Linked DNA regions of Lonchura striata. The protein of the gene in region 1 purifies or fractionates together with the protein of each later gene. This does not show direct contact. Links are inferred from orthologs where the notes say so. Each region holds a gene or a part of one and is shown in the gene's direction. Other genes may lie near its edges.

The links.
Region 2: the proteins of UBXN2A (region 1) and PPP1R11 purify together in Homo sapiens (affinity purification with mass spectrometry; 3 studies listed by BioGRID and IntAct, counting the BioPlex papers as one, with this or other methods). This does not show direct contact. The link is inferred for Lonchura striata from reciprocal best matches to the Homo sapiens genes UBXN2A and PPP1R11.

Annotation. Positions count from the first base shown.
Region 1 is NC_134605.1:106,722,133-106,738,081, forward strand, and holds the start of UBXN2A (UBX domain-containing protein 2A), read left to right. Parts: upstream 1-8,186; 5' UTR 8,187-8,373; intron 8,374-13,180; 5' UTR 13,181-13,436; intron 13,437-15,409; exon of another isoform or gene 15,410-15,487; intron 15,488-15,514; exon of another isoform or gene 15,515-15,695; intron 15,696-15,949. Other genes in the region: ATAD2B (ATPase family AAA domain-containing protein 2B), read right to left, coding at 7,420-7,575. UniProt on the Homo sapiens protein: Acts to repress the ubiquitination and subsequent endoplasmic reticulum-associated degradation of CHRNA3 by the STUB1-VCP-UBXN2A complex in cortical neurons.
Region 2 is NC_134631.1:182,770-199,536, forward strand, and holds PPP1R11 (E3 ubiquitin-protein ligase PPP1R11), read left to right. Parts: upstream 1-8,032; 5' UTR 8,033-8,123; coding exon 8,124-8,192; intron 8,193-9,318; coding exon 9,319-9,427; intron 9,428-11,190; coding exon 11,191-11,390; 3' UTR 11,391-11,618; downstream 11,619-16,767. Other genes in the region: POLR1H (DNA-directed RNA polymerase I subunit RPA12), read left to right, coding at 4,732-4,864, 5,792-6,141, 6,822-6,931, 7,528-7,552. UniProt on the Homo sapiens protein: Atypical E3 ubiquitin-protein ligase which ubiquitinates TLR2 at 'Lys-754' leading to its degradation by the proteasome.

The DNA of each region.
Region 1 (15,949 bases):
TATCCTCCCATCATCAGCAGCCTGCTCCACCATGAGCGCCCCTCTTTTCCCTGTGCCTTCACCAAAATTAGGATGATACTGTGAAATTTCAGCTAATAATCACATCAGAAGGATGGAGGGGAGGCAAGGGGAAGCCAGGAGATGTGGAGAAGAGGATTAGTTTCAGCTGGACCAGTAAAATGATCCTGATCCCGCTGATCAAATGGCCTGGCAAGCATTAATACTGGCGAGTCTGTTGTTTTCACAACTGCAGAGTTCACAGCTCGCAGCACATGTGAAATCACACACCTGCAGAAGAGCAAGTCCACTGAGAAGAGTTCTCTACTTGCTGTATGGGGCCCACACCTCACTTTGAAGTACTTCTAGTCAATCCACTTAAAGGAAGTTTTTAAAACCACTGATCCTCCTTATTAAACACTGAAGGAATACTAAAAGTAACACATTTTTAGTGAGAACTACATTAACTATGAGTTTCTAGACTCTGTTAATAAAAACTTTTAAAGCAGAAATTATATTTATGTAATGAATCAATAATCAATAATTATTACAATTTCTGATGTGGAAAAAATGAAATCATTCAAATGTTTTTCCTACCCTCAGTCCTCAAAAATCCATCTTATTTCTGTGTAACAGGCATATCCTAAACAAAGCTTATAGGACATGGCCTCCTTCAATACTACTATAAATCTAAATAAAGACACAGAATTATCTAAATGAGGATAGCAAAGAGGAGAACAGAGTGAGAAGACCTGAACCAAACTGCTCCCCAAGGTTTGGACATGACCAGGAAATAGACTCAGTAAACTAAGCAAAGAAATGTCTGTAGCAAGGGAAACTAGGAAGGTGGCCTTCTGTGTTGAAAAAAAATAAGATCAAAAAACACTTCTGCACCCCTAGCTACAATGCACTTGAAGACAGCATTTTCAAAAGAGAAAAAAGAAATTAAAATGGCATACAATTGTGATAGAAATCTTAAGATTAATGTACTGAAATTTAAATCATAATTAAAACAAAATTCTAAGCCTGAAGGATAAATCAGAGAAATAATAGAGGATAGTTATTAAGTATTTGAAATGAGGGACTGCTGAAGCACAGCAACAAATTTCACTGCAAGTAATCTCTTCCACATGTAGAAAATGAACAGATTCTTCATTTCAGGTTATTTAAATAGCTTGACTCAACTATTTATCCATTTAAAATGAAAGAACTGACTGGAGAAAAGCAAAATGCCCCCTTCCCACACTATGAAAACAACCAAACCAAAGCATCTGCTCCAAGTGGAACTGGACACAAACTTTCTATCAAAGCTTTACATCAGTTACGCCATCAACAGACACTACTAGAAGCATACAGGCAAAACCATGAAGTTCAGTACAGGCTACAAGAACTGTGGAACTTGGAGACACTTCTAAGTTCTGTATTTCTAATAGGAGAACTAAAGCTGCCTCCTTCGTAACTAGTTCAGTTGGAGCTGAAGCTAATACAGCATACACATACTCAGTGCAAAATTGAAAGGCTTACAGAAGATTACAACTGGTCTTACAACTGGCTGAAAATTCGCCTGTTTTAGTAACTACCAAGCAAAAAGAAACTAAATTTATTCAGAAAAAAAATCCAAGTACATATAAATTCAAACCAACACTTGAGGAATTTAAATCAGAATTAATGGTTAAAATAAACCATGAAAATCCCATCAAAGGTAATGAAGACAATATTTCAAGAGTGAAGTCAGACTGAAAAATTGTTTTGAAAAACCAGCAAAGCATGAAGTGTACACAAAAAAAGGATAAAAACATACTGTCAGCTCCCTTTGCAGTAAATGGGTTCATAAGTGGTATTACCCACAGAAAAAGTAATCTATTAGATCTAAAACATCTAATAAACAATCAGCAATCTTTCAAAGGGTCACAGCTACAAAACAGCAGACAAAATTCACATCAATGAAAGCTTCAGTTCACTGATGCCTACTTGCAGCATGCTTTGTTTCGAGATGGGTTTTATAAAGTTTTACAGAGAAATCATTCAAATCATCATTAGACTGGAATTAAAATTTTTCCACAGCATATAAAACATTAAACAATTTAGGGCAGGGTGTGCAAAACCGTACCACATGCATCTGAAACTGCAGGGGGATAGAGGTGATCAGAATATAATTACCTGAGCTAATTATCTTGCATAACCCCAAGCTGTATGCAACTCTTGCAAAATTGTCATGGGCTGCCTCATAGCCATGGGTCAAACCTTCTGTTTGAAATTCAGACAGAGACAGCAGTTGGAGAAGCAGCTTTTATTAATATTACTTTGGGACAAGCCCAATGTTCAGAGGAAGCAATGCAGCACATGAAACATCAACACCATTTCCTGAGTACTCTTTGGAGGTCTTATCCATTCACTGGATTAGCCCTTGGATTGCTTCCTTTGAAGGCCCTGGAACAGTGTGACAGCAAGGATAGCCAGCTTCGAACAGGATGCACCACGGCCTCCCAAAACAAACCATGGACACTTCACATGTCCTGACTTCAGAAAGCAGCCCAGACTGATCTGGCAAGATACATAAGAAGAATTCAAACTCGGGACAGCCTTTCAGAACCACAAAAGGATCACAAATGCCAACTGTATGGTATTTTGACAGAATCCTGAACAAAGACTCCTTCCAACAATTGCTCCATTTCCCTCTGCTCACAGCTGTATTAACACCACACAGCCAAGGAATGGCCTACATGACTCATTTTAGAACACTGATTTTTCCCTGCTAAATCCCAAAAGAACAGCAGACCACTAAACCAGAAAGAACCCGAGATTTTATTACACACCGAAAAGATGAGCTTCCCTGGGAGTCTTCCTTTAAATTAAATTGTTTGGAATAACTTCACAAGGCTTTATATTTCAGGATGTATTTCAAAGAACTGTAAAAGCATTAGCCTCTGCACCTTTACTGATGCCACTGCAAACTCAAACACAAAGGCAATGCAGTTCTTTAAAACAGTGATATTGGACCAGAGCTTTTTTCTTGAAGAAAAAGAAACAGGTGGCCAGCAAGTGTCATTTATCCAGCATAAGGAGGAAAATCTTTTTCTACAGCTTTATTCTAAACACCAGAGCATCCAGAACACTGTGAAAAATTACGTAGAGAGGGTCTTTCATAAACAAAAACTTGATTTTTAGAAAGCTCTATTGTTTATGTTAAAACTTGTAATTTAAGAGAAATCATAGTAAGTTTTACATTTTCTATGTTTTCACTGACCATTAAAGGCTTTTCGAAGAGTAAAATGTAGCAACAAGTTTACACTACAAAAGCTGAAATTATCACCCAGAAATCAGAAAAAACACTTCTATGCCTACAGACTGAGAAACCACAGTGAGAGACGCTGAAACACACTGGCAACACAGGGCACAGAAATGCTGCTTAGCTCTCCACCTTTCCACACTCCAGCACCCGATGTCACTCCTGCAGCCCCTGATTGCTCCCATTAGCGGTTAAGTACAATGGAGAGCTCTAGGTTGCACCGTGCAAGTTGAACAATGTTGGCAGCACTACTTTTAGGGAGGATCATGCTTTACAATTATCACCATGCCCTCAAGTAGCTCTTAAGGCACTGCTAATGCTTTCTTGGCTAATTAAATTAAGCTAACCTTGTATACATTTCTAAAATGTCTAACTTGTACACTGACATGATTTAAGAGTGTCTATTACACAATAAATTCTCGATCAACGCTTTTGATTTGTGCTTTGAGATGACTAAGAAAAATAATTTCAATTGCCAAAGAAGTGTTACAGCAATCACAACTCAGTGTCTGAAAACATTAGACATCAGTAATCAGACATCAGTAGATACAAAGTGCAAATTTAACCACTTATAGTCACAGGATCCTTGATGTTTTCGTAGTGTGAATGAAGTCCACTGAACCTATAAGCCTTCTGTTAAAATTCTGTGTCTCTGTAAAAGATTTTGATGAGCTTTTCTTGTCAGAATGCTTTAATATAAAGCTAGAACACTTCCCAAATTTTAATGCTCAGAAGATAAAAAATCTGTATTTTTATACACATATGTATAATTTGTATAACAACAGAATATATATTTATGTAAACATTGCTTGAGAATCTACTAAGTAGTGTGTAAATCAGTCCTGGAAACAGGAAGAAAACAAAGCCCAGTTTTTCCCCTCTGTATCCTCTCTATGCACTCTGCTATGACATTATCTCAGACAGTAAACTTCTTGGCTCCTTGATCCATTTAGTGAGGGATTTTGTTCATTTTAATCTGGCTTCTGGTAAGCAGACAGACACACATGTATTCATCTCCATCACTGACTGCATGGTCGCCAATCAATAATTCAAACCAGTTTACTTTTCAAAGCCTGACGTCATTGCTTTCTCCAAGCTGAGCGAGTACTACTGAGGGAATACACTGAACCAATAAAGGCATTTAGACTATTACAGTCCATTTCCACAAAACGTGTGTTGCCTCCAGATTCAGATCAAACAAAAAAGGACACTATTCACATATAACTCAGCAAAATATTGAAGCAGAAGACTAGAAACTTAAGTTCTTGGAAAAGGAGAGAGTCAAACCTATCCTTATAAGTGTATGCAAAAAACCCAAACAAATGGGGGAAAAAAAGCCACAAAAACAGTGTATCAGAAAAAGCCAAGTGGAAAAAATAAGAAGAAAATAGGAAATAGATACAGAAGAATTAGACAGCAAGTCCTATCCCCTCATTTAGTCTACTCAGCATCTTACAGGATGCCATTATGTCATTAACTCAGTTTTTGTTGCTAATAAGGAACAGACAGATGATCTTTTAAAATACATTCTGAAAGGTGGCTGCAAATATTCCCACAGAAGAGCAACTCTCAGGGAGTCCCAGTCAAAAGCTCGATGCAAGAAAGTTAAGTCATACATACTGCAAAGAAGAAGCGTCCCATCTCTGCCAGAGATCCAAACTCTAGCTGCCCATTAACCCGATTAACTGCTGGTAGCAAGGCTGGTTTCCTGATGTGACACCCAAAAGATCTAGAAAGGACAGACTGTTCCAGTCTACTAAAAAAAAAAAAAAACAAAAAAAAAAAAAAAACAAAAAAAAAACCCCACCAAGGGAAAAACAAAAAAAAAACAAAAAAAAAAAAAAAAAACCCCAAAAAACATACAACTGCATGAAGACGATCCCAGCACGCTCTTTCTGAACACAGCCTCACTATCAGTCTCCCGACAGTCACTTGCAAAAGCAAAGGCTTTGTCTCCCTACTGCTATACTTATTCATGTCCTAATCACTGAGATCCTTCTCTGGCACTACTTCAAGAAGATTCAGAAGCTCAGAAAGACACTGTATTGCTGACAGTACTTACATCTGAAGAATAAAAGGAGTTGTTCAAAACCAACTTTAAAATACAGTGAGATGTACATATTTTATAAAACACACTGGATGGGGGAAATAAGGAAAAAAACCTTCTTGGATAACTTCTGCTCATATATGGCAATTACATCTTAAAAGGAAAGAAAAAATCCACCTCAAACACATGAGCTGCCTTGTGGAGCAAAACAAGTTCATTCCCATGCACCAAAATTTACATTTAACTTTAGAAGAAATGCTCTTTTAGGTGTATGGGCAATATATTGAGAAGTATTTACAATATTTTACACTATTTCGCACAATCTCCTTTTCTCACACCATGACAATAACATAATTTGAACATTTTAATGATTTGTAGTAAAAGAACACTGTTCATGAATTAAAAATACTTGGAAAGAAGCCCAAGCTAGTTTTCATAGCAGCAGTAAACTCCCTGAGAAGTAAGCCAGTAAGGGTTACTTCAAACTTTGCTTCACAAACCACAAGACCCACGATCTGAATAAACAGAAACTGCACACTAGAACAAGCAGAACAGCTTTTTACAGCTATGGTACTGCATCCCCAGGAGTCCACTGAAATTAAACAAGGAAGAAATAGGGAACAAGTAAAAGTACGATGGGGGAAGGGAAGAACTGGGAAATATGAAAGAACTGAAAGAGAAGCACAGAAGGTATAGGATATTTCATCAGTGATTTGTATTTGGTTTAGTATTTTAGACCAAATGGATGGGGTAAAAGGTTTTGTGAGAATTCCAGGTGACATCCTTCTCACATGCCTCTGGCTGCTGCTGCTGTTTTTCTACTTGGTTGATTAACTTCCTCCTTTGCATGGCAGGGACAGTTGATGCACCACTGTCAAACGCTCAGACCCTCAAATTTCACTTCCAAATGTGCATTGTTTTTATTGATTTTTATTGCTTTTATTGAAAGACCTTTAAAGCAATACGTGAAGTTTCATCAACCAAAGAAAAAGTCCTGCCTACAATTCCTCCTGTGGGAGGAATTTCTTCACAGACAGGATCATTAAACATTGGGAACGGACTGCCCAGGGAGGCAGTGGAGGCACCAGCCCTGGACCTGTTTAAGGAAAGACTGGATGTGGCACTCGGTGCCATGGTCCGGTTGACAAGGTGGTGATTGGTCATAGGTTGGACTCAATGATCTGAGGTCTTTTGCAACCTCACCGATTCTGTGTTTCTTCGATAATTAAAAACAAAAATTGCAGGTTTTGTCAACAGAGCTGTTACGAGACAAGGAAGAAAGGGGACTCCCGAATTCTTTCTTCCAGTTCCAATTTACCAAATGCTAATTCTTCAAATCGGGCTGTAGAATTTCACTTGCAGTTAGCGTGTCTAACCCAAGCAACCACAAGAAGTTTGGCTGGGAAAGCGTTCAACTTAAACTTGACGGCAAAAATCACAGCCTCCGAGCCACAAAAACGGGGCGGGGGGCTTTCCCGAACACCAGCTTCCTCCAGTCGCAGCCGCCAGCCGAATCGAGGTCATTTAGGGAAAAGGGAAAAAAAAAAAAAAAAAAAAAAAAAAAGCAGGGGAAAAAAAAAAAAAGCACACACGCGCACACACACACACACACAAACACACATATATACACACACGAACCAAACCCGGGCCGAGGTTTATTGCGAAGTTGCTGCGGGCGCAGCTCCCAACTTTTGTCTGGCGGTGGCAGCGCCGGGCGCGGCCGCAGGGGGAGCCCCGCGCCGCCGGACCCCGCCGGACCCCCGCCCGCCGCCGGGCACCGGCACCGCGGCCGCTGCGCCCCCGCCCTGGCAGCGGCCCCGCCGCCCTGCCGCTGGCCCCAGAGGGACCGCGGCTCTCCGCAGCTGCCCCCCGCGTCCCTGCCGGCCCCGCCGTGCCTCCTCGGCTCGGGCTGCCCGCCGGCCCCAGGGTCCCTCCGACAGCCGCCAGCCGTCTCGGCAGCCGCCCCCCGCCGGCTCCCGTGCCCGCAGCCCCCCCCGCGCCGCGGCACCAGCGGCGCTGTCCCCAGCGATTCCCCGGCCTCGCCGCCTCCCTCCCTCCGGTCCCCTGTGGAGTCCCCGGTCCTCACCCGCGCTGCCGCCGCCTCCTCCAGCCCGGCCGCATCTGCCTTGGTGCCCCTCTTAGAAGAGCGGGTGCGGGACGAGATGAAATGGCTGCCGGCCCCGGCCGCCGCGGCCGCCGCTTTGCCCAGGGGGCGCAGAGAGCTCTTCCTGGTGTTCACCATGGCCCCGGCGAGGGGGGACACGGGGGGCGCCGCCGCCGCCGGCGCGGAGGGAGGAGGGAGGGAGGGCGGACAGGCGGGGGCTCGGGCAGGGAGGGGAAGGGGAGGGAGAGGGGGAAAGGGGGGAGGAGGGAGGAAGGAAGAAAAGCCCTCCGGGGAGGCCGCTCCGCCGGGCAGAGACGCAACCGGAGCCGCGCCGGCTCCTCCCGCCGCTGTCGCCGCCGCCTCTCGGGCTCAGCCCGGCTCTAACTGGCCGCCATTACTGTCCCTGCTCCCTTTCTCTGCTCGCTCTGCGCCGCCCCCGCCAGTCGCCGCCGGGGGGCGCTGCGGCCCCGGCGCGGCCGTTCTATCCCGGCGCCGCGCGCTCTATGGGCCCGGCCCGGCCCGGCCCGGCCCGGGGGAGGCGGCGGCGGCCGCGGGTCCCCGGGGAGCTGACCCGGGCCCGGCTTCGCTGCGGGCACCGAGCGCCGCGCAGCCTCACGGCCCTGCCGCGGCCTGGAGAGCGCCGGCTGGGCCTGGCCTGGCGTGACCCCGTGGGGCGGGGGAGCCGCCGCCGCCGCCGCCGCCCACTGAGGGCTGAGCCGAGGGCCGGGGAGGTCAAGGGCAGGGGGAGCGGCTGACGGGAGAAGGGCAGCCCCGGCAGCCGGCGCGGGGCTCCGCCGCCCGGCCTGGGGGGCTGGAGCCGCCTGCTCTGCTCGCCCCGGGAGGCTCTTGACAGGAGGTGACCGACAGCTTGGGCGAACAGATCTGCCGAGGACGAGATCTCCATAATTCCCTGTGGAAAAGTCTTTTCACACTCTGGTGAGCCTCATTTTTAAGAAATCACCTTGATACCAGGCTGTCGGGAGTGCGCCCTTCTCCCATCGCGCCCGTCACCGGCAGCGTCCCCCGTGTTTTGCCTCAACCTGCGTTTCATGTTCCCTGCTCGGTCCTTGGAAAGCTCACTGCTCCCCACCTCCCTCCTTATCGCAGATGCCTCAGAGGGGCGAAGAATACAACGCATTACTCTACACCGGCTGCCTAAATGCTTTTCAAATTACTCACAAACTATAACCCTGTTCATGAACCCAGTCCCTTCTTGTCGATGTAAGAATCATTCTCTCACCACTTGTTGCCCTGTACAGAACTTACGACAGTACGTGCACATAAGCCTGGAAACCAAAAGCTTTGTGAAGGAAATACAGCTGAGGAACACAAGCATACAGCTGTAGGTGACAAAGTCTCAACCTTTTAATTTTCACACTGACTGGTTTGGCACTGCTGGGCAAGTCATTTCAGTGCTTCTTACTTCTTTAACCAAAAAAAATAGTATCATGAAATTACTGAGCACGTGCTTCTGACTGTTAAGTTCAAGCAAGCTTTATCAAAGTATTTTTACTGTTTAAAGATGGAAAGTGCGATAATAATCTAGTAAAGAACAATAAATTTTAAAAACTATTATTCTGTTTTACCTGCATACTCCCACATCTTCCTCTGCAAGATTACAGTCTGTAAAAGTATGGTAGAATGTGTACTTAGAAAACATGCAACAATGACATCAGGCTATATAATAAGAAAAACAGCTTTTTAAATATCCAAGCAAAAACAAAAAATACTGTGACTAGCAGCAATTGTTTAGTTTTATGAGATACTCCAAAATACAGTGCATTTCAGAGTGGGAACTGTAATGTCTCATCTGACATTCTCTATTTAGAGCTTGTAATCTACGTTAGCAACAGTGCTTCATCTCCTGCCCCAGAATCACCAGTGTCTTTCAAAAGTAGAGTAGTTCTGCTCCATGAGATTGGTTTTGATAGGTTTGATATCCTTTGTTTCTAAATTTATTTGTTTAAAGGTTATGAAAGGACGTAGTAATTTCATACACTTGTAGATGAAAGGAGTATTTTAATTAAAAATCTACAAGGGGTTTTATGAATGGTATTTGGAAATCACATCTTTTTAGCCTTCAAAAGTAGGAATAGAAGGAAACTACAAGAGACTGCCCCTTACCAAATACCAAGACATATGTTAAGTAACAGTATCACATCATATATATAATGACAAATAATGTACTTTAAAATTTCTGTGCTGTAGTACTGATAGGCCATGAAACTCAGATATGGTTTTCAAATTCTACTGGTCTGGAAACAAATGTTGATCTTCAAGTTTTTGTACTCATCACAAAAAATATCCCCATTTTAGGAAAACCAACAGATGAGTGGCTCAAAAAAGGGCCCAGGCTGCAACAGTTACAGTGAATGTCATAACTCAGGATTGCAGTCATTGGCAGGGCTGTCTGGGGAAGCTTGCATAACATCTGCTTGCAACATGCCTGATTCAAACCAGCACTCTTCCTCTCATGAACACTGATGACTTATAAAAAGTAAAATAAACTCAGTCAATATGCAAGCAAAATTATTTTCCTGGGTGCCTCTCCAGATCTGCTTGAAATAACAGAAATTCTCCAACTCAAAAGCTATTTATTCTATATTTGCTAGGTATTTATACCACAGTTGTGTCCTTTTTTTAAATTTTTTTTTTTATGTGTTCTGATCTCGTTCCTGTGAGCCATACCCAGAGAGCACTCTTTATGATGCCGGAGGGACTACTGTGGAGAGATTGATGTAGTTAAAAATCCCTGATCTCTGCTTTGAACATCTGTAGTGCTTCATTCTCATTGTGTTAGCATGATAGGAAACATGGAAAGACATGCTTCATTTTGGATGTTAACTCCCTGTGTTGTTTTTCGCAGATGGTTTTGTTTACAGGTTTCTTAGTTGTCTTGTTCCTCTTAGAAGGTGTGGCTGGTTATTTTGACTCAAATAGCTTATGGCATTATAGCTTCCATGTCAGCCTCATCACCATTTTTAGTACTGACAATATAAATAAATCAGTCATAAGTTACAAGGTTTGCTTGGTAGCTTTGATTGGATTTTTTTTAAATGCAGAGAACATGTTAACATAGGATTAATATTTTATATCACACATACTTAGAGACTTAAATGTGGTTTTACAATGAAAGATGAATTACTGTAGAAAGGGATTTAGAATAATTTCACTAATCCAATAATTTACTTGTTCCCATTTTCTCTATCTGTTGTTGGTTCATATGGTGTCATATGAAGACAGAACAGCATTAGAAACCTATTTAGATTCCCTGCAGCACTTTACATGCAGGAGATGACTGGGGGGGAAAAAAAGTAAGAACTCTTGGTGGTGAAAGACAATGAAAAAAATAGGGGGAGAAGGACTGAAGCCACATTCCACTATGTATTACTTTAAAAAAAAATTGTAGAGCTCATCCAGTTTCAAGATGTCTAAATGCTTCTACAAATAAATGCCATTGGGAAGGACCATATTTCAAATAAAACCAGTTTATAATGAATGCTGAAGCTTACAGCAGTGTTCAATGTCCTTTTAACTCCAGTTGTTCAGAAAAAAGATTAAGGTATCTGAAAAATGTATTAAGAAGAAACCACACCATCTGCCAAGACAGGTACACTACTGGGAAATTGGTAAAATATGAAAAATGACTTGAGCAAAAGAGATGGGGAATGAAGCCATATCGGGACATCATGATGTAAAAAGACGTTAAAAAATTACCCAGGATGGAAAACCTTGTTGCTACATGAATGATACTTAATGACACAAGAAATATTTGGAGATGGATGATTTTGTTATCACATGTCCCTATTTTACCAGGAAATCAAGAATTAGAACAAAAGAAAAAGTCCTTCATCCCTTATTCAGAACTTTTGCAGAGAGTTTCTTTCTTGTAAGGACCAGAGGGCTCTATTCAGTGAATTACCATTTGCTTCAATCATAGGCAATTTACCAGAGATTACTTTGCAATATCTCTGAATAGCAGTAACATTCCAAAGAATGGAAATCAAATCATCTTTTCAGGCCTCTATTTATAAGCTCATATGTGTGCCTCTCAATCATGCTGTCAACTCCTCCTGGTTTCAGTTGAATCTTGAAATAAAAAAAGATTCACAAGAGATCTTGCTTTTGTACACGCATCCTAAGCTTTTTCCTGAGGGGCATGTTAGGAAATTAAGATTGTGTGGTTACTCCTTTGAGAACTGTCCATTATGAAGATAGGCCCATGGGATACCAGTTTGGAAACTTCAAATAAGCAGTGTCCAGGAATCAGGATTGGTACTACCTTGAACTGGAACAGAGAACATGGTGCAATCACTCCACATTGCAGGCAGTTTGCTATGTTATTATAGAAGGCTCATTATTTGAAGACTACCATTGTCATTTAAGAGTGGGTAATAGTTATGATTTCAAATTAAACACTCAATGTCCAGTGCCATTATCAGTGCACCTATCTGAAGACTGTTTTCCACACTAGATAATATCAGTGCAACTTGAAGAGGAATCAGAGAGTAGGTTTCTCAGATAACATTAAAAAGGAGTGGTAAAACTTCCCTCGTAATATTTCAAAATCATCTTGCCATCACATCTGGCCACTAGCTTCCATAATGTTTTTCCTGTTGAGCTAAGGTCACAGCAGATAGTTTTTCTAATAATAATAATTGTGTGAAACTCATAGGCTGATGGTATTGTAGCCAGGCATCTGCAGGGTCTGTTTTTCACTATCATTCAGGCTGTAAATTACTTCCATCTTGGACAAAAGTGGCAAATCATCTCACTTTGATGCTTATGATCATTAATCATATGAAAGTAGCACCACCAGCCTGTTACTATGCTGGGTGATGTATAGCTTTGTAGTAAAAACCAGACTCTGTCCTAAAACGCTCACAATAAAAATAAGCATTTATGAACACGTGTGTAGATAAGCTTCAGCACCAGACAAAAGTATAATGGCTTGATTAGGATCACATGGCAAGTCCATCAAAAACATTATTGGTTCATAAATCTCTCTAGTGCTCACACGCAATCTTAGGTTTCGAAGTGTGGGGTTTTTTTGTTACAGGTCCAAGAACAAGCTCATAAAATACACTACCATGTCATCATTGTAGTTTCACTTAAAAGTGTCTTTGAGAATTCACAATACATTATTTCCAAATGTGTGTTATCTGGTACAAACAGTTGCTCAGTCTGCCTTGAATTTTTCATGGGCTTATGCATTTCACACTTATTTTAAAATTGAAGGTATATTCAATTTTCTTGTGTACTTACAGTCCAAGAGTCCAGCAATGTGTGGATACTTCTTTCAATGCACGATTGTCATTAATGCTGATTCACCCACAAAACAATGACTTGCTTTTCCAGTGCATAGCTGACTTCCTAGAAACATTGGTTCCTTAAGCTACTCCCCTCTGTGTGGCAGCCTAGAAGGTTTAACATTCCTTCAAGGACCATTCATCCTATGCAGAGGAATGTGCTGTCTTTTAGTCAGTGGAATTGCCATTTGCAGGATAACCAGACCCTGTTCTCCTATTTATTTTGCAGTCCCAGTTCCTCACAGTGTGTTCCTACTCTGTGTGCACACACTTCGAAAAGGCTTCAGGCAACAGCTCGTCTCTCAAGTTAAGGTCAATCAATACGGCTGATGTTTAATTATAGGTAGCTGACAGTATCCTCTGGCATAGGCTAACCTTGTTAAATATAAGGTTTAAAAATATCCCTTCAAAATTAATTTTCTGTTTGTTTTTAGATGCCCTGTGTGTGCTGGTTCTTCTGTGACCTTGACAGGTCTGTCGGTGACAGCTGAAACCCTGCTTTACTTTTTCAACACTGAGATTCACTCCTACATTATAAAACAAGTCTGGGGGTTGTCACTATCTTCCACGCCACTGCATCTGATCTCTCCTGACAAAGGGGCAGAAGATGGTTGTATTCATCTCATGAATACCCTGCTAGAGGTTTTTCAGCAGACACAGTCTGGGCTGTTTGCTTCTATTCACCACACGGTAAGAAAAGGACCATTTGCTTCTGTTCATCTAGTGTACTGCCAGAGAATCAGCTGTATTAAATGCACAGAGTATAAAAGGATTTTAGTGATGTCTTGATTGTAACAACATTCTAACTTGAAAATTTCCAGCTTTAAAGAAAATATTTTTTACATTATATAAGAATTGCAGTTCTTTCTTAAGATTTTTGTTACTCCTGTGCTTTGTCAACAGTTTGACTCCTAAGGGAGGACAGCACTACTTAGAAGAGCTTTTAAGAAACCAAATTCACTAGGACATTGAGTCTTACTGTAGTAGGTCAGCATGTCTCCAGCTGTACTCTGATTTCCAGTAATAGACCTAATCTAAATCAATGACACCTCACCTCCTTCTATGCTTACCTTTGGGTCTGTCAAATTGTTGCTGAAATGGCCCCCAGGAAAGGGTTAAGCATATTAATGAACTTGTGTGTTTAATGAAATGGAGATAGTGCACTTCAAATAGTGAGAGAAAATTTAAAACAGTCCAGCACTGCAAAACAACTTTCTGATGTTTTAGCTTAGGGTTTTGTAAATTCCTTGACTTTTCTACAGTCATGGTATCTGTGGTTTAAGTTCTAAATTTCTAAAACCAGTTTAATGGAATCAGTAACCCTTGTAACAAAGAAGTATCTTCTAAAATGTCAAACTATTTTAAACATTAAACAAAACCAGGGAGAATAGAATCTCTGCAGTCCGTGTTTTGAAATATAAGACTCCATGTATTTTAACGGAAACAAAAGACAAATTTCTACCTTCCCTGAAGATTCATAAGCAGGAGCTCTAATTAGATCTCATGCAGTTAAAATGTAACAATCCAAACTGCCTTCAAAAGGATCAGTGCATTGTGACGTGCATTATAAAGAGAAATAAATTATAGCTGTCAAGTGTCAGATTTTACTTCTGTTACTCACCCATCACTGAACTTTGAGACTAAGCATCTTATTTTAATATTTCCGAACAATGTGATTTTAATTGTTGTGATTAAGGGATTGCAGAAACGTGTCCCACGTGAAGACGACACTCAATGAAGTTTTACCTCTGCTTTTAGAATTACATTTGATCGCACTTGTAAATTCACAGTGGATTTCCCATTAATTAGTGTGAATTAGATAGTTGTGGCTGTTCACTTTAGGTTAATTCTTAATGTTTTACAGTGCATCGCTAATTATTGATGGGTGGGGGGGGGAGACCCAACCCTTGTTAAACAGCCCGCAGGTGCAAGGGGTGCGTTCACTGTGCTCGGTGGGTGTTTCTAGGGGCTGGCAGCTTCCCCGCGGTATTGGCCTTGGATGCTTGCATAGCTCCTGGCACCACCACGGGACCTCCTCGTCCCGCAGAGAGCGGCTTCTCCAAGGCTCAACAGAGCGCAGAGAACTCGGCTCAGTCCTTCCCTCCCCGAGGATCCCATCCCATTTTCCCGTTTGCTTCCCAGACAGCGCGCCGCTCTTTTGTCCTCGGTGCGAGGCCGCGGCTGAGCTCCTTGTGACGGTGTCAGCGCTGGCCCGTAACTGGCGCCCGCCGCACCATGAGCCGCTCCCGCTCGCCAAAGGGCTCAGCGTGCGCTGCTCCACCGGGGCCAAACACGGGCACCATTCCCTGCTGTTGTAGGTGCCGCGGCTTGACAGACGGACGCTCAGACCGCGGCCTTTGTTCCGCAGCCGGGACTAAGTTCCTGAGACTTCGCAGTCTCAGGCCGGACAGGGATGTTTATCTCTGCTGCGTTGCGCCAGCTCCTGCCCAGACACCGCCGCAGCGACGCGGGGGTTCCGGCTCGTAAAGGCGGGTCGCGGCGAGCCGCAAACACCCCAGCCCTCGCCTCTTCCCGGAGGAGAGGACAGGGCAATCCCCGGGGAAGCCGCACTTCCCCCGGCACAGCGGCAGGGATCCTTACGGAGACCCCCCGGCTCCCCCGCAGCGCCGGGGCGGAGCTCTGCCCGCCCCGCCCGGCGCCGCCGCGCCTGCGCCGCTCAAGGCGGGACACCGAGGAGTTCCGCGGCGGGCGGTCCCGGGCTGGGCGCTGCGGGACGGGCGGTGAGTTCGCTGCGGGCACAGGCTGGGCAGGCGGCGCGTTTCGCGGAGCCGGTGCTCCCTCGGCTCCTGCGGGCGGGCGGGCTGAGCCTCCCCGCTGCCTCCGCCCTGCTCCGAATCGGCCGCGTTCTTCAGCAGGAGCGACCCTCGGGGGGCCCGGCCTGGCCCTTCCCGGGGCTCCCTGGCGATCTGCCTCCGCGTCGGTACCGGGGTATTGCCTCATCGTCTAAAAATACCTCCTGGCGGGCGGGCTGGGCAGCGGCGGGAGGCGCGGAGCGTGTGCCCGGCCTGGCTCTCGGGGTGCGGGTGAGCTCAGGTGTCGCAGCCGCGGGGTTGTCCCGAAATAGGTTCTTTGACTTGCTGTGCATGAGGCTTATCCACACACAGAGCCAAGGTACTTGATTCATTTGCGGTTCTGAGCCGAAAGAAGGGCTGCGTGGTAAATCCACAAAGCCAGCACGGCTG
Region 2 (16,767 bases), on another chromosome or scaffold:
TTGGAAAAGTGGAAAAAATGCAGGAAAAATTTTTAAAAAAAAGGGAAAAAAAGAGAATTTCTCTGGGGCGGCTCCAGTGCGGGAGCTCAAGGGTTAAACTCTGCCCCGGCCACGTCAGCACCGGAAAAGGGAATTAAAGGGGCAAAAAAAGCCCAAAAAATCGGATTTTTTCCCAAAAAATGGGGCCAGAGGGGTGGGGGGAGAAGGAAAATCCTGGGGGAATTAAAATGGCCCAAAATCCCCAAAAATTGCCCCAAAAAAAACAAGCTAAGGGGGAAAAAAGGAGGGGAAAAGGGGAAAAAAAAGGGGAAAAATAAAGAGAAAAATGGGATTTTTTGGGAAAAGAGAGAAGGGAGAAGTTGGGGGGGATTCCCTGAGAAAAAACAGCCCAAAAATGGGGAAACAACACCCAAAAAAAGCAGGAAAAGAGGGAAAAAAAGAGAGAAAAAAGGAGGGAAAAAAGAGAAAAATCAGATTTGAACGGGGAAAATCAAGCAGGAAAAATGGGGGGGGATTTACCTGCGCCAAAATCCTGAAATTTCACCCCAAAATTCCGGGATTTCTTCGAAATTTGGGATTTTTGAACCGAAATCTGGAAGTTTGCTGGGATTTGACCCCAAATTTGTTTGTTTTTTGTCCAAAATTTGAGATTTTTGCTCCAAAATTTGGGGTTTTTGCTCCAAAAATTGGGATTTTTGCCCAAAAAATTGGGATTTTTGCCCGAATGTTGGGGTTTTTGCCCAAATTTGGGGAGTTTTGCCCCGAGCGTGGCCGGGGCTGCAGCTGGAGCTGCTGACTCAGCGAATTGGGAATTTTCCTTCCCCTCTGGGCAGCGGCCAAGTGATGAAATCGCCTCAAATCCCCCCAAAATTTACATATTTTGGGTGGAAATTGAATTTTTTCTCCTTTTTTCCCTGTCCTTGGGGAGTTGAGGGGGTGAAAATCACAAAATTTTGGAGTTTTTGAGGATTTTTAGCCAAAAATTCCCCGTTAATTCTAATTTTTGCCAGCCAAAAATCCCCCAAATCGGAAGAAAAATGCAAAATCATTCAAATTTGGGGTGAAAATCCCAAATTTTGGGCAAATTCCGTACTAATTCCCATTTTTGTCAGCACAAAATTCTCAAATTCTGGGAAAATCCAAGATAATTCAGATTTTGAGAGAAAAAATCCCAAATTTTGGGCAAATCCATGCTGAGACCCAAATTTTTTCCTAAAATTCCAATTTTTTTCTCCTTTATTTCCAGATTTTCCCGATTTTTTTCTCCAAAATTTCATTTTTTCCCCATTTTTTTGGCTAAAATGCCGAATTTTCCCACTTTTTTCCCCAAAATTCCCATTTTTTCCCCAAAACTCCAATTTTTCTCCCTTTTCTCCTTTTTCCCCTGAAATTCAATTTATCTCCCCATTTTTCCCCAAAATTCCCATTTTTTCCCCAAAATTCCCATTTTTTCCCCAAAACTCAAATTTTTCTCCCATTCCTCCTTTTTCCCCCGAAATTCAATTTTTCTCCCCGTTTTTTCCCAAAATTCCCTTTTTTCCCCATTTTCCTCCCAAAATGCCCCTTTTACCCCGATTTTCCCAAAAATTCCCCTTTTTTCCCCATTTCCCCCCAATTTTTTCCTTTTTTTTCCAATTTCCCCCATTTTTTCCATTTTTCCCATTATTTCCCGTTTTTCCCCCATTTTTTCTCAGTTTCCCCATTCCTCCCATTTTACACCCGAGATTCCATTTTTTCCTGTTTTCCCCTCTTTTTTCCCCAAAAATTCTAATTTTTCTCCTAGTTTTTCCCCAAATTTCTCTGTTTTCCCCCATTAATTCCCTTTTTTTTTCTTGCGGTTTTTTCCCCCATTTTTACCCCAAAATTCCCCACTTTTGCCCATTTTTTCCCAATTTCCCCCATTTTCCCCCAAAATTCCTTTTTACCCCCATTTTTTCCTGTTTTTGCCCATTTTTTCCCACTTTCCCCCATTTTTTCCCAATTTACCCCATTTTTTCCCTTTTTTCCTTTTTTTCCCATTTTTGACCCATGTGTTTCCTGTTTTCAACCATATTTGCCCATTTTTTCCCATTTTCCCCGTATCCCCCCATTTTTTCCCTTTTTTTCCCGTTTTCCCCCATTTTTCCCCATTTTCTCCCAATTTCCCCCCATTTTCCCTGTTTTTACCCATTTCCCCCCGTTTTTCCCCATTTTTTTCCTGTTTTTTCCCATTTCCCCCCATTTTTTCCCATTTCCCCCCATTTTTCCCCCGTTTTTTCCCATTTTTTTCCCGTTTTCTCCCGTTTTTTCCCATTTTCGCCCCGTTTTTCCCATTTCCCCCCGTTTTTCCCCATTTTTTTCCCGTTTTCTCCCGTTTTTTCCCATTTTCGCCCCGTTTTTCCCATTTCCCCCGTTTTTCCCCATTTTTTTCCCATTTCCCGCGTTTTTGCCCTGTTTTTTTCCCGTTTTCCCCCGTTTTTTCCCGTTTTCCCCCGTTTTTGCCCATTTTCCCCCGTTTTTCCCCATTTTTTCCCGTTTTTCCCCATTTTTTCCCGTTTTTCCCCATTTTTTCCCCGTTTTTCCCCATTTTTTCCCGTTTTTCCCCATTTTTTTCCCATTTTCCCCATTTTTGCCCATTTTCCCCCGTTTTTCCCCCGTTTTTGCCCATTTCCCCCCGTTTTTGCCCCGTTTTCCCCCCGCTCCCGCCTCACCTGCCGCTCAGTGGGGGAGGGGGCTCCGCCTCCGGCTCCCCCCTCCCCCCCCGAGGCTCCCTCGGGAATTTTGGGGCAAAATTCCGGAATTTGGGGCTCCTGGAGGGGGGCGGGGCCGGGACCTCCTGGGGAAAAAGAACAAAAACGGGAAAAAATGAAAATTCCCAAAATTCTGAATTCGGGGAGGGGTTGGAGGGAAAACCAAAAAAACCCAAAAATACCAAAATTAAAACCCCAACAAATCTAAATAAATCCCCCCCAAAAAATCCCAAAATCCCCAAAAAAATTCCCAATAAAACCCCCCAAAAAATCCCAATAAATCTCCTCGAAAAGCTCCAAAATCTCCCCAAAAATCTCCAAAAAAATTCCACCCAAAATCCCAAAATGCTCTCCAAAACGCCCCCAAAAAAACCCCAAATCCCCCCAAAAATCCAAACAAATCCTCCCAAAAAAATCCTCAAGAGTTCCTAAATAAATCCCTTTAAAAAGCCCCAAAATTCCAAATAAACCCCAAACCCCCCCACAAAACCCAAAAAAAAATCCCCTAAAAATTCCCAATGAACCCCCCAAAAACTAATTCCAAAATCCTCCCAAGGAACCCCAAAAAATCCCCAAATTTCCCCAAATTTCCCCAAATTTCCCCCCGCCGCCATTTTGGGGCTCAGCCGCTCCCCCTCAGAAAAGGCCCCAAAACCCCAAAAATCCCCAAAAAATCCCAAACGCGGCCGCGCCCGCCGCCCCTCCCCCCCCAGCACCTCCGGGGGCTCCCCCCCAGCGCCGGGACCCCCCGAAACCCCCAAAAAGTCCCAAAAACCCCCAAATTTCCCCCAAAATCCCGGCCCCCCCCGCCCCCCCCCGTACCGGCGGCGCCTTCCCGCGAGCGCCGCCACTTCCGGTCCGGCCGCGAGCGCCGCCACTTCCGGTCCGGCCGCGAGCGCCGCCACTTCCGGTCCGGCCGCAGCGGAAGCGGCGCCATGGCGACGCCAGGCCACGCCCCCTCGCCGCCGGCCAATCCGAGCGCGCCAAGACGCGCGGTTGATGCAAATGAGGCGGCCTCACGCGTGGCCACGCCCCCTTTGAGCGCGGCGAGAGCCACGCCCCCTTTAACGCAGATTAAATCCAGCCACGCCCCCTCACGAAGCCACGCCTTTTCTGGTTAATTAGCGCGTTAATTAATGATGCGCCGTTAATGAAGCGCTCCCCTTTCCGGGTCGCGGAGGGAGCGGAAGTGACGTCAGGGAAGGGGCGGGGCCGGCGGAGTTTCCCGCGCGGCGCCGGGAGGAGGTGGGGGAGGGGTGGTGCAGATTTGGGAGAATTTTTGGGGCTTTTTGGGGAAATTTGGGGATTTTTTTGGGAATTCTGGGGGTAGGGGAGGCAGAGGAGGGAGGGGAGGAATTTTGGGAGGATTTGGGGGGAAATTTGGGATTTTTGGGGGGAATTTGGGGAAATTTGGGGATTTTTTTGGGTGTTTTTGGAGGAAATTTTGGGGGGGAGGGGAGGCAGAGTTTTGGGGGGAATTTTTGGGAGACTTTGGAGGAAATTTGGGATTTCCGGGGAGAATTTGGGGAGACTTTGGGAATTTTGCGGCAGATTTGGGAGAGTTTTTGTGGGATTTGTTGGAGCATTTTTGGTTCATTTTTGGTGTGTTTTAGGTGCATTTTCTGAGAGCTTTTGGGATAATTTTGGGGTGTTTTGGTGTATTTTTTGGGTGTTTTTCGTGCAATTTTGAGGCTGTTTTTGGTGTATTTTTTGGCTTTTTTTGGTGTATTCTGGGGCTGGTTTTGGTGTATTTTTTTGGGTAATTTTTGCTGTATTTTTGTTGTATTTTTGGGCTTTTTTTGCAGGAGTTTTGGGTAATTTTGGGGGCTGATTTTGCTGTATTTTTGGGTAACTTTTAGGCTGGTGTTGCTGTATTTTTGGGGTAATTTTTGGGGCTGTTTTGGGGTAGTTTTTGCTGTATTTTTGGGCTATTTTGCTGTATTTTTGCTGTATTTCGGGGCTGTTTTCACAGGTTTTTGGCCGTTTCGGGTCCGTTCCCCGGATGGAGCCCCCGGCCCGGTTCTGGTTCCGCTCCCGCCCCGAATTCTGCCCCGAGTGCGGCTCCGTCCTGCCCCGGCCCGGCCCCGGCAGCTGCTGCCGCTGCCCCCGCTGCGGGCTCGGCCTGCGGAGCTCAGGTTTGGGGCAAAAAACCCAAAATAAATCCAAAATCCAAAAAAATCCCCAAAGAAATCGAGAAATCCTGAAAAAATCCCATTAAAATCCCATTAAATCCCATTAAATCTCATTGAAATCCTGCCCCCGCTGCGGGCTCGGCCTGCGGAGCTCAGGTTTGGGGCAAAAAACCCAAAATAAATCCAAAATCCAAAAAAATCCCCAAAGAAATCGAGAAATCCTGAAAAAATCCCATTAAAATCCAAAAAATCCCATTGAAATCCCATTAAATCTCATTGAAATCCTGCCCCCGCTGCGGGCTTGGCCTGCGGAGCTCAGGTTTGGGGCAAAAAAACCCCAAAAAAATCCAAAATCCAAAAAAATCCCCAAAGAAATCGAGAAATCCTGAAAAAATCCTGTTAAAATCCAAAAAATCCCATTGAAATCCCATTAAATCCCATTAAATCTCATTGAAATCCTGCCCCCGCTGCGGGCTCGGCCTGCGGAGCTCAGGTTTGGGGCAAAAAACCCAAAATAAATCCAGAATAAACCCAAAATCCAAAAAAATCCCCAAAGAAATAGAGAAATCCTGAAAAAAATCCCGTTAAAATCCCATTAAATCCCATTGAAATGCTGCTCCCGCTGTGGTCTCCAATGATCAGGACTTTTTCCCCATTTCCCCCCAAAATTCTAAATTTCCCCACTTTTTCCCCAATTTTCCCTTGTTTTTCCTTGTATATTCCCCTTTTTTCCCTGTATTTTCCCCAGTTTTTCCCCATTTTCCCTGTATTTTTCCCCGATTTTCCCAATTTTTCCGTTTTTCCCTGTACTTCCCCTGTATTCCCCAATTTTCCTGATTTCCTCCATTTTCCTCCATTTCTCCCCGTATTTTCCCCGTTTTCTCCCCATTTTCCCCACGTTTTTCCCGATTTTGGCGTTTTTCTCCCCAGATCTGCGGCCGGGCCCCGTCCGATCCTCGCTGAGCTTCGCCGGGGGGGGGAGGGGCAGCGCCGGCCCCGCCCCCCAGGAGGGACCCACGGTGAGGGGGGGCGGGGCCCCCAAATCCCAAAAAATCCCCCAAAATTTCCAGAAAAATTCCCCCAAAATTCCCAAAAAAACCCCCAAAATTCCAGAAAAAAATCCCCAAGATTTAAAAAAAAATTCCAAAAAAATTCTCAGAAAATCCCCAAAAACCCCCCTCGAAAAAAAGCCCAAAATTCCAGAAAAAAAATATTCAAAAATTCCAAAAAAATTCCCCCCAAAATTAAAAAAAAATTCCCCAAAAAATCCTGCAAACCCCCCCCCCAAAATTTCCAGGAAAAAATCCCACAAAATTCCCTGAAAATTTAAAAAAAGTCCACAAAAATGCCTATAAAATTAAAAAAAAAAAAAACAGACAATTCCCCCCAAAATTGACAAAAATTTGAAAAAAAAAAATCCCCCCCCCAAAAAAATCCAGAAAAATTCCAGAAAATTTCCCAAAAATTTGACCAAAAATTCCCCAAAAAATTTTGATTTTAGGGTAAAGAGATTTTTGAGGTGAAAAATGGGAATTTTGGGGTGAATTAATGGGATTTTCGGGCTTAAAAAGGGATTTGGGGGTGAAAATGGGATTTTTGGGATGAATTAATGGGATTTTGGGATATTTTTGAGGTGAATAATTTGATTTTTAGATGTTTTACCTGGACAGGATCTGTCCCCGCTGTGCCCACCCAGGGATGTCGTTCCACACGGGGATCCCATGGATTTCATGGGATTTTTGGGGTGAATAATTTGAATTTTGGGATATTTTTGGGGTGAATAATTTGAATTTTGGGTATTTTAGGTGGACAGGATCTGCCCCCGCTGCGCCCACCCAGGGATGTGGTTCCACACGGGGATCCCATGGATTTCATGGGATTTTTGGGGTGAATAATTTGAATTTTGGGATATTTTTGGGGTGAATAATTTGAATTTTGAGGTGAATAATTTGAATTTTAGGTGGACAGGGTCTGTCCCCGCTGCGCCCACTCGGGGATGTGGTTCCACACCCGCCAGATGCGCTCGGCCGACGAGGGGCAGACGGTTTTTTACACCTGCCCCCGCTGCAGGTGAGAGCCCCAAATAGCCCCAAAATATCCCCAAAATATCCCCAAAATATCCCCAAAATATCCCCAAAATGTCCCCAAAATATCCCTGAAATATTCCCAAAATAGCCCCAAATATCCCCAAAATATCCCCGAAATATTCCCAAAATATCCCTGAAATGTCCCCAAAATGTCCCCAAAATATCCTTGAAATATTCCCAAAATAGCCCCAAATATCCCCAAAATATCCCCAAAATATTCCCAAAATATCCCTGATATATCCCCGAAATATTCCCAAAATATCCCCAAAATGTCCCCGAAATATCCTTGAAATATTCCCAAAATAGCCACTAAATATTGCCAGAATCTCCCCAAAATATCCCCAAAATATTCACAAAATATCCCCAAAATATTCCCAATATATCCCCTGACCTATCCCAAAAATAACCCCGAAACACCCCCAAAATAATCCCCAAAAAAAACCCCAAAAAGCCACAAAAATTCCCCAAAAAACCCCTCACATTTCCCTGAAATCCCAAATTTCCCCAAACCCCGAATTTTCCCCCAAAATTCACCCCAAATTTCCCGAATTTCTCCTGACCCCTCCCCTTTTCCCGCAGGTTCCAGGAGAAGGAAGATTCCTGACATTTGGATTTTTGGGGGATTCTTAAGGGAGGAATTTTGGGTTTTTTGGGGATATTTTTTTAATTTTTGGGAATTTTTTGGAGGGATTTTTTGGGATTTTTGGGGCATTTTCTGGAATATTTTGGTGCTTTGGGGGATGTTTTGGGAATTTTTCGGCCGTTTTTGAGATTTTGGTGCTTGAAGAGGAATCGAAGCGTCCCGCTCCCAAATTCGGGGCGGAATTTGGGGATTTTTTGGGGGAATTTTGGGGATTTTTTTGGGAATTCGGTGCCCTTGGGCGCGCACCGGAAGTGGCCGCGCAGGGGGAGCGGATTCTCCGCCGGGCCCACCGGAAGCGGCGCTCTCCGCGCACCGGAAGTGGCCGCGCAGGGGGAGCGGATTCTCCGCCGCGCCCACCGGAAGCGGCGCTCTGCGCGCACCGGAAGTGGCCGCGCAGGGGGAGCGGATTCGCCGCTTCACCCACCGGAAGCGGCGCTCTCCGCGCACCGGAAGTGGGGGCGGCCTCGGCCCGGCCCGGTTCCGCTCCCGGCCCGGCCCGGTGGCGGCGGGAGCCCCGGGACCCCCCGCGGCCATGGCGGAGACGGCGGAGAGCGGCGGCTGCGGCACCGCCACCGTCACCGAGAGCGGGAACCCCGAGCCGGTACCGGCCCGGGGGGGCGGGGAGACTGGGAGGGACTGGGAATGGGGGATGAGGTTACTGGGAGGGACTGGGAGGGAACTGGGATATACTGGGAGGGGTTTGGGGTCACTGGGAGGGACTGGGAGGGACTGGGGTTACTGGGAGGGACTGGGGGGACTGGGATGGGATTGGGAGGGATTTGGGATATACTGGGATGGGGTTTGGGGTTGCTGGGAGGGACTGGGAGGGACTGGGGTCACTGGGATGTACTGGGAATGGGGGATGAGATTACTGGGATGGGGTTTGGGGTCACTGGGAGCGACTGGGATATACTGGGACTGTCTGGGCGAGGTTTGGGGTTGCTGGGAGGGACTGGAAGGGGACTGGGAGGGAACTGGGGTTACTGGGAATTACTGGGAATGGGGGACAACGTTACTGGGAGGGATTTAGGGTTACTGGGATGGGGTTTGGAGTCACTGGGGGGGACTGGGAGGGACTGGGGTTACTGGGATGTACTGGGAATGGGGGATGAGGGTACTGGGATGGCATTTGGGGTCACTGGGATGTACTGGGAATGGGGGATGAGGGTACTGGGATGGGGTTTGGGGTCACTGGGATGTACTGGGAGGGATTTAGGGTTACTGGGGCAGGGTTTGGGGGCACTGGGAGGGACTGGGATGTACTGGGACTGTCTGGGCGAGGTTTGGGGTTACTGGGATGTACTGGGAATGGGGTTTGGGGTTACTGGGAGGGGTTTGGATACTGGGAATGGCCCCTGGGGACACAGTGTGACCTCTGACCCCTGGCTGACCTCTGGCTGACCCTTGACCCCTGGCTGACCCCTCAGGAGCAGCGCAGCCTGACGCTGAAGCTGGGGGGACACTGAGTGACCCCTGTGTGACCCCTGACCCCTGTGTGACCCCTGACCCCTGTGTGACCCCGCAGGAGCAGCGCAGCCTGACGCTGAGGGGACACGGAGTGACCCCTGTGTGACCCCTGACCCCTGTGTGACCCCTGACCCCTGTGTGACCCCTGACCCCTGTGTGGCCCCGCAGGAGCAGCGCAGCCTGACGCTGAGGGGACACGGAGTGACCCCTGTGTGACCCCTGACCCCTGTGTGACCCCTGACCCCTGTGTGACCCCGCAGGAGCAGCGCAGCCTGACGCTGAAGCTGAGGAAGAGGAAGCCGGACAAGAAGGTCGAGTGGTCGAGCGACACGGTGGACAACGAGCACCTGGGCCGCCGCTCCTCCAAGTGTGAGCGCCGCGGGCCCAGAACGGACCCAAATCCACCCAAAATCTGCCCAAAACTGGCCCCAAAACCGACCAAAACTGGCCCCAAAATCTGCCCAAAAATGGACCAAAAACGGACTGAAAATGGCCCCAAAATCTGCCCAAAAATGGACCAAAACTGGCCCCAAAATCTGCCCAAAAATGGACCAAAAACGGACTGAAAATGGCCCCAAAATCTGCCCAAAAATGGACCAAAAACGGACTGAAAATGGCCCCAAAATCTGCCCAAAACGGCCCAAAAAATGGACCAAAAATGGACTAAAAATGGCCCCAAAATCTGCCCAAAACGGCCCAAAAATGGCCCCAAAATCTGCCAAAAAATGGACCAAAAACGGACTGAAAATGGCCCCAAAATCTGCCCAAAAATGGACCAAAAACGGACTGAAAATGGCCCCAAAATCTGCCCAAAACGGCCCAAAAAATGGACCAAAAATGGACTAAAAATGGCCCCAAAATCTGCCCAAAACGGCCCAAAAATGGCCCCAAAATCTGCCAAAAAATGGACCAAAAACGGCCCAAAAATGGCCCCAAAATCTGCCCAAAACAGCCTCAAAATCCACCCCAAAATGGCCCAAAACCAGCCCCAAAATCTGCCCAAAAATGGCCCCAAACCCGCCCAAAAACGTCCCAAAACCAGCCCCAAAATGGCCCAAAAATATCCCAGAAATATCTGCCAGAACGGTCCAAAATTAACCCAAAAATGGCTCAAAAATATGTGCCAGAATAGTCCAAAAACGGCCCTAAAGTAGCCCCAAAGTGGCCCAAAAATATCCTGAAAATCTCTGCCAGAATAACCCAAAAATTAACCCAAAATTGGCCCAAAAAATAGCCCAAAAATTGACCAAAAATACCTCCCAAGATAACCCAGAAATGGCCCAAAAACAACGCAAAAACACCCCCCAAAACTGCCCAAAGCCCCCCAAATTTCACTGAAATCCTCCCAAATCCCCCCAAAATGCCCCCAAATCCTCCAAACTCCCCAAATCTCCCCCAAATCCCCCCAAATTTCACCCAAACCCCCCAAATTTCCCCAAACCCCCCAAATTTCCCCAAACCCCCCAAATTTTGCCAAACCCCCCAAATCCCCCAAACCCCCCAAATCCCCCCAAATCCCCCAAATTTCCCCCAATCCCCCCAAATCCCCCCAAATCCCCCAAACCCCCCCAAATCCCCAAATCCCCCCAAATCCCCCCAAACCCCCCCAAACCCCCCAAATCCCCCCAAATCTCCCAAATTTCCCCCAAACCCCCCAAACCCCCAAATCCCCCCAAATCCCCCAAATTTCCCCAAATCCCCCAAATTCCCCAAATCCCCCCAAACCCCCCAAATCCCCCAAACCCCCAAAATTCTCCCCAATCCCCCAAATCCCCCAAATTTCCCCAAATCCCCAAATTCCCCAAATCCCCAAAATCCCCCAAATCCCCCAAATTTCCCCAAATCCCCCCAAATCCCCCAATCCCCCCAAATCCCCCCAAACCCCCAAATTTCCCCAAACCTCCACAAATTTCCCCAAACCCCTCAAATCCCCAAATCCCCCAAATTTCCCCAAACCCCCAAATCCCCCCAAATCCCCCAAACCCCCAAAATTCTCCCAAATCTCCCCAAATCCCCCCAATCCCCCAAACCCCCCAAATCCCCCCAAACCCCCCAAACCCCCCCAATCCCCACCCCCCATCCCCACCCCCCACCCCCAATCCCCCAGCCCGTCTCTCGGCCTCTCTCCCCAGGCTGCTGCATCTTCGAGCGGCCGCGGCCCTTCGGCGAGAGTTCCTCGGAGAGCGAGGGGGAGGGGGAGGGGCGGGGGGGGGAGGGGCGCGGCTGCGGCCACCAGAACTGCGTGCGGGGCCACCGGCACACGGGGGGGAGGGGCCCCCCCAAACCGCCCCTCCCCCCGCCCCGCGAGCCGCCCGTGGCCATGGAGCACTGAGGGGCCCCTCCCCCACCCCAAACCGCCCCTCCCCCACCCCAAAATCCGCCCCTCCCCCACCCCAAAACCGGCCCCTCCCCCACCCCAAAACCAGCCCCTCCCCCACCCAAACCGCCCCTCCCCCACCCCAAAAATCTGACCCCCACCCCAAAACCCGACCCTCCCCCACCCCAACGGAGCACTGAGGGGCCCCTCCCCCACCCCAAAATCCGCCCCTCCCCCACCCCAAAACCCGACCCTCCCTCACCCCAAAACTGCCCCTCCCCCACCCCAAAATCCGCCCCTCCCCCACCCCAAAAATCTGACCCCCACCCCAAAATCTGACCCTTCCCCACCCCAAAAACCCGACCCTCCCCCACCCAAAAAATCCGAGCCTCCCCCATCCCAAAATCTGCCCCTCCCCCACCCCAATGAGCACTGAGGGGCCCCTCCCCCACCCCAAAAATCCGACCCTCCCCCACCCCAAAATCTGCGGGGGGGACCCCAAAATGTGCCCCTCCCCCACCCTGCCCCTCCCCCACCCCAAAAATCCGCGGGGGCCCCCAAAATCCGCCCCTCCCCCACCCCAAAATCCGCCCCTCCCCCACCCCAATGGACACTGAGGGGCCCCTCCCCCACCCCGCCACGGATTTTGGGGGGTCGGCGCCAAAATTCCGGAGTTTTAGGGCCAAATTTTGGGAATTTTAGGGTTAAAATTACAGGGGTTAAGGGCCAACATTTGGGAGTTTGGGGGTTAAAATTCCAGAATTTTAGGGCCAAATTTTGGGATTTTTAGGGTTGAAATTTTGCTGGTTTAGAATTAAAATTCCAGGGATTTATGGCCGAAATTCGGGGGTTTTCGGGTCTAAATTTGGGAGTTTTAGGGTCATAATTTCTAAGATTTTCCCCCCAAAATTCCGGAGTTTTAACACCGAAAATTCCGGCTGAAAAATTCGGAATTTCAGCCCCAAAAATTCCAGCATTTCAGCACCAAAAATCCTGGAATTTCAGCCCCAAAAGTTTGGAATTTTAGCCCAAAAATTCTGCAGTTTCAGCCCCAAAAATTTTCCCCCCAAATCCAAAATTTCACTGCCTGGACCGCCCCCCAAAATCTCACCTGGACCCCAAAAATGTCACAAAACCCCCAAAAATGTCACCAAAAACCCCAAAATTTTTACCTGGACCCCCCCCAGGGACATTAAATGACACCGGTGATGCTTTTTGGGTTTTTTTGGGTTATTTTGGGTTTTTTGGGTTTATTTGGGGGGGTCCCGCGGGGGTGGGGGAGGGGCGGCGTCCGCTCGCAGTTGGGCCCCGAGGCTGTGGGGACAAAAAAACAAAAAATACCCAAAAAATGGGTGGGGGAGGGGGAAAAAAATCCCGAATTTTTTATTTTTTTGGTGGGGGAAAGGGGAAAAAATCCCGAATTTTTTTAATTTTTTGGTTGGGGGAGGAGGGGGAAAAAAATCCCTTTTTTTTTTTTTTTGTGGGGGAGGGGGAGGGGGAAAAAAATCCCGATTTTTTTTTTTGGGGTGGGGGAAGGGAAGAAAAAAATCCCAAATATTTTTGGGGCGCCGGGGGAGGGGCAGCGCAAAAACAAAATTTGTCACCCCCCAAAAATGTCACCGGGCCGGGTGGGGGAGGGGCGGGGGCGCCCCGGGGGGGGGAGGGGCGGGAGGAGGCGGCACGTGAGGGGAGGGGGAGGGGCGGGGATCCCCAAAATTCCCCTCCCCCAGCGCCGGATTCGGCAGGGATGCAACAGCGCCCAAATCCCCCCCAAAATCACCCAAATTCCCCCCAAAAGTCACCTCAAATTTCCCCCCCAAAATCATACAAATTCCCCCCAAAAATCACCCCAAATTCCTGCCAGAAATTCCACAAAATTCCCCCAAATTACCCACAAAAAATCATCCAAATTCCCCCCAAAATTCCTCTCAAAAATCATACAAATTCCCCCCAAAAGTCACCCCAAAATTCCCCCCAAAATCAACCCAAATCCCCCCAAAACTCCCCCAAAAATCATCCAAATTCCTGCCAGAAATTCCACAAAATTCCCCCAAATTACCCCCAAAAAATCCCTTAAATTCTCCCCAAAAATCCCCCAATTCCTCCCTCCATGTCCCTAAATCTCCCCCCAAAAATCAAAACTCTTCCCAAAAAAACCCCGAATCTCCCCCCAAGTTTTCCAAATCTCCCCCAAATCTCCAAAAACCCCAAAATCTCCCCCAAAAACCCCAATTTTCCCCAAAAACCCCAAATTTTCCCTTCCCCTCCCGGCTCTGCGCCGTCCCCATGTCCCCAAACTCCTCAAAACCCCCAAATCTCCCCCTAAAACCCCCCAAAATTCCAAAAAAACCCCAGAATTCCCCAAAATCTCACCTGGTCCTGCTGGTCTTGCGCCCTCCCCATCTCCCCAAACCCCCAAAAATTCCCCAAATTTCCCCAAATTTCCTCTTCCCCTCCTGGCTCTGCGCTGTTCCTGCTGTCCCCGTGTCCCCAAACCCCCCAAAAAACCCCAAAAACCCCCAAAATCCCCCAAATCTCACCTGGTCCTGCCAGTCCTGTCCTGTCCCTGCTGTCCCCATGTCCCCAAACCCCCCAAAAAAACCCAAAAACCCCCAAAATTCCCCAAATTTCCTCTTCCGCTCCCGGCTCCGTGCTGTCCCCGCTGTCCCCGTGTCCCCAAACCCCCAAACCCCCACAAAATACCCTAAAAAAAACCCCCAAAATCCCCCAAAATCTCACCTGGTCCTGTCGGTCCTGCGCTGTCCTCGCGCTGTCCCCGTGTCCCCAAAACTCCCCAAAAACCCCAAAAATCCCCAAATTTCACCTTCCCCCCTCCCGGCTCTGCACTGTTCCTGCTGTCCCCGTGTCCCCAAACCCCCCAAAAAACCCCCAAATTCCAAAAAATAACCCAAAATCCCCCAAATCTCACCTGGTCCTGTGGGTCCTGCGGCGTCCCCGCGCTGTCCCCGGTGCTGTCCCCGCTGTCCCCGTGTCCCCAAACCCCCCAAAAAATCCCCAAATTCCAAAAAATAACCCAAAATCCCCCAAATCTCACCTGGTCCTGCGGGTCCTGCAGCATCCCCGCGCTGTCCCTGGTGTCCCCACTCGTGTCCCCATGTCCCCAAACCCCCCAAAAACCCTCCCAAAAACCCAAAAAACCCAAAATCCCCCAAATCTCACCTGGTCCTGTGGGTCCTGCGGCGTCCCCGCGCTGTCCCGGCGCTGTCCCCGCTGTCCCCATGTCCCCAAACCCCCCAAAAACCCAAAATCCCCCAAATCTCACCTGGTCCTGCAGGTCCTGCGCTGTCCCCGCTGTCCCCGGTGTCCCCACTCGTGTCCCCATGTCCCCAAACCCCCCAAAAACCCTCCCAAAAACCCAAAAAACCCCCAAAATCCCCCAAATCTCACCTGGTCCTGCGGGTCCTGCGGCGTCCCCGCGCTGTCCCGGCGCTGTCCCCGATGTCCCCACTCGTGTCCCCGCTGTCCCCACTCGTGTCCCCACTCGTGTCCCCACTCGTGTCCCCCGCCAGCCGCCGCGCGATCCGCGCCTCCACCGCCAGCGCCACCGCGGTGCGGACGCGGCCGGGGGCGCAGGGCCGGCGACACTGCGGACAGCGGGGCCAGCCCGGGGGGGACCCCGGGGACCCCGGGGCCAGCGGGGACAGCTCCGGGGACACCGGGGACACCGGGGACACCAGCGGGGCCAGCAGGCAGCGGCGGCAGCAGCGGTGCTCGCACGGCAGCAGCACCGGGTCCCGCACGGCGCTCCCGCAGCGCGGACACGCCGTGGCCGCGGCCAGCACGGCCAGGGGACCGCGCGAGGCGGCGGGCGGCGACATCGGCCCCGCGGACGGACGGACGGACGGACGGACGGACGGACGGACAGGGGACACGGGTGGCACCGCTGGGGACAGGCGGGGACAGGGGCGGGACACAAACACGGGACACGAGGGTGACACGAGGGTGACACGGAGGGACATCGGAATGCGGGGACAGGGAGGGGACAGGGGAGGGGACAAGAGTGGGACAGAGGGACAGAGGGACAGAGGGACAGGGGGACAGGGGGACAGAGGGACAGAGGGGACAGACAGGGGACAGAGGGACAGACAGGGGACAGACAGGGGACAAGAGTGGGACAGAGGGACAGAGGGACAGAGGGACAGAGGGACAGAGGGACAGGAGGGGACAAGAGTGGGACAGAGGGACAGAGGGACAGACAGGGGACAGAGGGACAGGGGGACAGGGGGACAGACAGGGGACAGAGGGACAGAGGGATAGAGGGACAGAGGGACAGGAGGGGACAGAGGGACAGGGGAACAGGGGACAGAGGGACAGGGGGACAGAGGGACAGACAGGGGACAGAGGGGACAGAGGGGACAGAGGTGGCACCGCTGGGGACAGGGGCGGGACACAAACACGGGACACAAACACGGGACACGGGGATGACACAGGGGTGACACGAGGGTGACATCGGAATGCGGGGACAGGGAGGGGACAGAGGGACAGAGGGACAGAGGGACAGAGGGTGGGACACGGGTGGGACAGGGGTGGCACCGCTGGGGACAGGGAGGTGACAGGGGAGGGGACAGGACGGACACAAACACGGGACAGGGACGGACACGCGGGTGACACGAGGGTGACATCGGAATTTGGGGCCAGGGGAGGGGACAGAGCCGGGACAGGGAGGGGACAGGGGAGGGACACACACGGGACACGCGGTGACACGGGGGTGACACGGGGGTGACACGGGGGTGACACGGGGGTGACATCGGAATGCGGGGACAGGGAGGGACACGCGGGGATTTGGGGACACGAGGGTGACACGGAGCCACCTCGGAATCCGGGGACACTTCCGGGATAATTTGGGAATTTCGGAAAAAATTGGGAATAATTGGCGGAATTTGAGGACAGGAGGGGACACTGGGGACACCGGAATTTGGGGATCATTTGGGGAATAAATGAATAAATTAGGGATAATTTGGGGATAATTTGGGAAGAATTTGGGGATAATTTGGGAAAAATTTGTTAAGAATTTGGGAAAAAATTCTGAAGAATTTGAGAATAATTTGGGAATAATTTAGGAGTAAATTTGGAATGAATTTGAGATAATTTGGGACGAATTTGGGATAATTTGGGGATAATTTGGGAAAATGTGGGAATAATTTGGGAATAGTTTGTGAATAATTTGGGATAATTTGGGAATCATTTGGGAATAGTTTGTGAATAATTTGGGATAATCTGGGGATAATTTAGGATAATTTGGCAATAATTTGGGGATAATTTGTGAATAATTTGTGAATAATTTGTGAATAATTTGGGGATAATTTGGGATAATTTGGGATAATTTGGGGATAATTTGGGATAATTTGGGGAGCTCCCCACCGGGGGGGGG